Kluyveromyces lactis: one gene and its partner. The protein of the gene in region 2 purifies or fractionates together with the protein of the main gene of each other region. This does not show direct contact. Links are inferred from orthologs where the notes say so. Each region holds a gene or a part of one and is shown on either strand. Other genes may lie near its edges. The genes, in order: PRE8 and PRE4.

Evidence for each region.
Region 1: the proteins of PRE4 (region 2) and PRE8 purify together in Saccharomyces cerevisiae (affinity purification with mass spectrometry; 5 studies listed by BioGRID). This does not show direct contact. The link is inferred for Kluyveromyces lactis from reciprocal best matches to the Saccharomyces cerevisiae genes PRE4 and PRE8.

The regions. Positions count from the first base shown.
Region 1 is NC_006040.1:875,333-878,385, forward strand, and holds PRE8 (proteasome core particle subunit alpha 2), read right to left. Parts: upstream 1,596-3,053; coding exon 843-1,595; downstream 1-842. Other genes in the region: UTP14 (Utp14p), read left to right, coding at 1-613; KLLA0_D10395g (uncharacterized protein), read left to right, coding at 2,131-2,136, 2,273-2,950. UniProt on the Saccharomyces cerevisiae protein: The proteasome degrades poly-ubiquitinated proteins in the cytoplasm and in the nucleus. It is essential for the regulated turnover of proteins and for the removal of misfolded proteins.
Region 2 is NC_006040.1:986,402-989,393, reverse strand, and holds PRE4 (proteasome core particle subunit beta 7), read right to left. Parts: upstream 1,551-2,992; coding exon 753-1,550; downstream 1-752. Other genes in the region: 3',5'-cyclic-nucleotide phosphodiesterase PDE1, read right to left, coding at 1-142; RTG2 (Rtg2p), read right to left, coding at 1,976-2,992. UniProt on the Saccharomyces cerevisiae protein: Non-catalytic component of the proteasome which degrades poly-ubiquitinated proteins in the cytoplasm and in the nucleus. It is essential for the regulated turnover of proteins and for the removal of misfolded proteins.

The DNA of each region.
Region 1 (3,053 bases), about 110 kb from region 2:
AGCTGCGCACAAGATCAGAAAAGAGATGGTAAAACAAAGCAAGAAGAAACCCAGTTCCACAAAAGATGAAGACGTTCTACTTGATCTTGAGGATAGCAACACTTTGAACATCGTTGATGCTTATGGTGGTTCTGATGATGAAACTTCTACAAATACCATGTTTAAACAACAAGAGGTCATAGCCGATGCATTCGCTGGGGACGATGTTGTTTCTAAATTTGAAGAGGAAAAAAGGAGAGTCGCTGTTGATGAAGATGATAAGGAAGAGGACGTCACATTGCCTGGCTGGGGTGATTGGGCCGGTGCTGGTGCTGAAACCAAAAGAAAGCGGAAATTCATCAAGAAGACGAAAGGTGTGGTGGAAAAAGACAAAAGAAGAGACAAATCATTGAAGAACGTCATCATAAATGAGAGAGTTAACAAAAAGAACTTAAAATATCAATCGTCCTCTGTCCCTTTCCCATTCGAAAGCAGAGAACAATACGAAAGATCTTTAAGAATGCCACTAGGGCAAGAATGGACTTCCAGAACATCTCATCAAAAGATGATAAAGCCAAGAATTTTGACCAAGGGAAGTACAGTTATAGACCCATTAAAAGCGCCTTTCAAATAGCGCCGTTTAATTTGTATTATATATATATATATACGTCAAATAATGATGAGAGATTCAAGCGTTGATACAAATTTACACATACAACACTCGATCGATTCTTGGTAGCCCCCCCAAATTTATTCATTACCAATTAAATAAGGAAGTATTACACATAAAATGTCATAAGACATGTGAGTCCTTTATATTCTTACCTGTGCTCGTGCCGTGACGATAACGTTCAACATTTTACTTATAAAGCGTCCAATCGATCGGTAATCTCCTGTGAAGTCAATTTTCTGAATCTTGGGCCCTTTGCACGAGGTTCACCTTGATAACCCAACAATTCTTGATTTATGTCTCCTACAATAGCAAGTTCGATAGTGTCTCCATTAAATTCTCCTTCCACTGATTCCTTCAATGTTAAAAGAGCAATGTGTATAGCATCTTCAAGTTCTAATTCTTCATTCCATCTCTTCTCTAAAAATGTCTTAGCAGCAGACGAGCCTTTGCCAATGGCAGTTGCCTTCCATGGGAAATATGCACCAGATGGATCCACTTGATAAAGACCGAACCCATTATGTTCGTCGTGTCCTGCTACCAGTACAGAAACACCAAACGGTCTGACACCACCTGATTGAGTTGCCTCTTGCATAATCTTAGCTACTTCAGAGACTAATATCTTAGTTGGAGGGTATTCCCCATAAATTCTCTTATAATTCGTATGTGCTACTTTTCTTGCCTTATCCACCAAGACTCTGAAATCTGGCCCCATACCAGAATATACTGCACCAATGTCGGGTGTTATGAGCGAAACTTTGGATACGGTATCTGGTAATGCCAAACTTGATGAAGACTTCTTTTCAGTGGCAATCACAATACCATTGGTCGATTTTATACCCAACGAAGTAACACCTTGCTTGACAGCCGCTAAAGCATAATCAATTTGTCCTAATTTACCACTTGGGGAAAACGTCGTTAAAGAAAACGAATATCTGTCAGCCATCTTTTATTTAATATTAGTTATGAGTACCTGCAGTACTGATGCGCAATCCTGGACTCAATTAGCTCTGGTTGCTGTCTTCTACGACAGAAACGAAACATGCTCAGAGCTCATATTGTTTGCCACCTTTTAAAGGTTTTTCCTAAATTTCAATGTAGGATGGATATTTCCGGGTAACAATATAATTCCCAAGTCTCTCCAGCTGGCGTTGCGATACAATAACCGGATAACAAGAGGTAGATCTGGTTTTGAGAAAAGCTTTTTGCGTAACATGAAGAGTTTATGTTCGTGGTTCAAGGTTAGATGAACGATAGTTGTCGGCCTCTTTTTTCCCTTATTGCTTCTCTAAGTAGACTTTGGTTATCATTCTCTCTGTATATTTCTACGCGCAGAGAGGGATTTTTAAGGCTGCAACAGAAAAAAATGACATCGCACATTCACACAGGTAAATAAGATGAGATGAGCAAGAAGAAAATATTTTGGACTGTATTCGGGGGGTTCTGAAAACCTGTACTGATCTATTATATCCTCACGCAATATGGGAGTACGTTTTTTCCCTTTTCTTTTTGAGTTACTTCTCCGAAGCTAGCGAATGACACGTTCGTTCTGACTATAACGTAACGTTAATGATATGAATTGAAGCATGTGTTACTAACAATTAACAAAACTTTACGGTTAAGAACGATGGAGGATCCATAATTAAAGGCGTTAGAATCAGAGTAGTCGATGACGCCTCCAAAAATGCGGCCAAAGCTAAGAAATTAGAGTACTATTGGAATGACTTGTGGTCCAATTGTCGTCTCTTGGGGACACCACTAATGCCACCTTTGTTTAGTGACTGTAAGGGCAACCTTTTCAATAAGGAGTCAATATTGGAATGGCTCTTGGTGAAGCCCGAGTATAAGTCTGAAGAATACACCCAAGTGGTCATAGATGCCTTTTCACATATTAAGCTGCGAAAGGATTTAGTGGAGTTAACGAATTTGCAAGAACTTGGCAATGGCACTCTTGGTGTCAGTTTATCCGGTACTGGTACAACAACAACTGATCTTGTATTGGGGAACCGTAGGAAATTTGGCTACATTGATACATGCGGACATGTGAACACCTTAAGCGCATTAGATAACGGAACCGGTTGTTATGTTTGTGGTACCAGCTACACGCGATTGAACATTGTTGTATTAAATCCTACAGAACAAGATGATGTACAGAGGCTAGTGGAAAGACAAAGCTGGCTCCAAAATCAGAACCTTTTACATAGTAGAAAGCCAAGAAAACGTAAATCAGACGGTAAACCCCTTCTTAGTTCTCGCAAGAAACAAAAACTGACAACCACGACGACAAAAGATATCAAATGATAACCCTATAATTACTGAAAATGTGTTTACAATTGATGTAATATATATTAAATAAAGTCTTCGATTATAGAACTGTTCCTATCGCTATGTACAAGTGTTTTGC
Region 2 (2,992 bases):
CGGACCCCGCATCAATGCAAATATATCCTGATTCACTCGATCCTGCGCGTTTCATCAAGAAACTCTGTGTATGATTGTTTAGGGGGCCCCCACAGCTTCCTAAGATAGTTAGTTCAAATGAGCATCCAGGATACGTAGACATCTTTTCACTTTCGAAACCAGAATGGAAATATATCGCAAGATATCGGTAAAAATCTGTTTCCTGGCGTATAGATGCCTACCCTACAAGCCAGTTGTATTTGAGAGTATGGAATATAGGTATACTGGGCTAGCGCTATAAGTCCTCTAGTCTTTCCTTTGTCGATGATTCATTAATCAATTAGGTTACTACTTGTTTATATAGAATTAAACTTGTTTTCTAAAAGAATTGGAACTGTAAAAGAATAAAGAAAGGTAACTCCAACGATAACCTTCATATATACAGGTCCCTTCACTCGAAATATCTTAGTGACATAATGACTGAGCTGGCTGTCCAGTAGTTGACAGCATTGACGCCGTTTTGATCAGTTTCTTTCTTGGTGTATTATGTGTGAATATGTGCCCTAATTCAGAATTTACGCATAGTATACATTTATAGAGAAAACACAGAAGAGGTGAGGTCTTCCCGTTATTGACAAAGAAAGTATATATTACCAGAGCAGGATCACCATGTGTTGCTCTTCCTTTGTTGGCATGAGATTGTGTATTTTGGTGCAAGTATTATCTGCGTGGATAAGTGAAAGCATGAAGACAAGACGAAGTAAATCCGAAACCTATACCTTTTGGGTACCATATCCTCTGATGTCTTTGGCGAATTCCCAAGACATATTCTCTACTTGTAGGTCCTTTTCGATATTGAGCCCCAGTTCATTGTCGATTATAGCCAATGAAAACTTACGTGAACTACGGGCATCACGGTAGTATAATATTTTCATTGCCTCTAGGATAGCTTTCTTAGCAACATCTAGATTCACTTTTTCCACGTCCTTTTCGGTGTCTACTAGCTTTCTTAAAAGGGGCAATGCCAAGTGGGCACCGAACCCTGTAGCCAACGTTGGCGAAGAGTATGTGACACCTAATAGGTTAACGTATCTTAAAAATGGCTTTCCATCTTCTGTGCCCCCTACAATTATCGCATTCCATAAAGGATCTAACTTGGATCTACGTTGGTACATCACAGATGATAGATATTCAAAAACGAAGCTTGGTTTCAATTGCTCCTCATTATCCGCATATGCGCTATCGTAATTGTTTTCAATTTCCATCTCGTCTAATAGATGTTGAATGTATTGCATATCGGAAATGTCACCGGATACACCAACAACCGTGTTGGGACCCACTTTGATCAATCTCTCCTCGTTTGTGAAACGTAATAACGAACCGTAAGCACCTAGATTATCAGCTGCAACAATAACACCGTTATTATACTTAATACTGATGACAGAAGTACCGGTAATAATAGGGTTCTGAGTATTCATCTTTGGATTATTTGACGCTTGGGCAATGGCATGATTGTACGCGCCATAGTGTTCGTCAGATGGCCTTCCCCAGGCAAATGGATCGTGATTCATGTTGGAAAGTGTTTCAATGGATTGGATTCGCAGAAAATACCCTTGGTGACTCTTTAGTGTTGATTGTAACCTGTCGTGAAGTGAACTCCTTATGTATTAATTATGAATTGCATGTCTCTCTTATATTCGATAGTGGCAAAATCGTTCTAATAAGGTAAAATGTTAAAGGGCGGGTAACGCTATATTTTTCCAGCTAAAACAGAGTGATCAACAGAGGATACGACCATCGGATAGTAGTACACAGCAGCGCACTACACTACCTATATGGCGCTTTCACGAATATTTATATCACATTTTAGGGTCTGAGGCTTGTTACAAACAGGGTAAATTAGATATTAAATCTTCAACAGGAAGGGAGGCTGAGGGAAGTAAAATAAAGAGCATTCTATATAAAGCCTATACATACTGAGATCGCAATTGAGTGTTCAATAGAATTCTACATTGATCTTAACCTTGTCGCTGGAACCACGGGATAATTTCCTTATTTTCTTTTGCAACGTGATGATTCTTTGCCTCACAGAAGCAATAGTCTTTAGATCGTTTCTGTTAATCTTGACAACAACTTCGAATATCCTCTTGTTCGGGTTCCCTGTTGGAGTTGGCTTGCCGTTTCCTGAAAGGTTCTCATCTATAGATAGCATCTGTAAATCAATAGCCGATTCATCTTTCTCCGAAGTGCTGAAATGGAAGACACCATCTCCAATGTTACCACCAGGGTGAACACCACAAATGACATACATGATAGTGCCAATGTATTTTGTCCACCATATTGTCCTTTCACGTTCTAGTTTGTCACCATCTCTTAGTGCAATGTCTTCCAATAGCTTTTTGTACACTTCTTCAGGTTCTGGTATGTCTCCACCCCATCTATTGCACAATGCTATTCCCACCAAAGCTCTTGATCTGTGAGATAGCCCATGACACCCAGCAATGATACCAGATGTACCTACACGTAGTGCTGCGGTCGGTTGTAGTTCCTTTGGATATGAAGCGTGTACGAAAGCGAGGTTACAAAGAGCAGGAGCTATTCTTTCGTATACTATCTTTGGAATCTCTTTAGTAGGTATAGCAGTCCTTAATAGTTCCAAATATTTGTGAACAAGCAAAGGAGCATAGGGTCTGGTTGCAATGACAAGTGGATCCTGTGCTCTAATCTCCCTTGGAAGAATCGAGTATAAAGTACCTTCTCTGACACCACCTTCACTGAAATGAACGTTTTTGATCTTGGGCAATGACTCGGAAGCTGCTGCCATGAGTAGGCCTACAGCTGGTAATTGTTTGGCTCTTCTATCAGAGACTTTAAAGATCTTACTTGCCGATTCACCTGGAACTCTCTCCTTCAAAAACAAGTAGTCACACATGTTTGAGAACTCGCTAAAACTGCATGAAAATCCATTTATAATTGTTTGAATAGGATATTCTTTGATCTGCGATAATAGAAG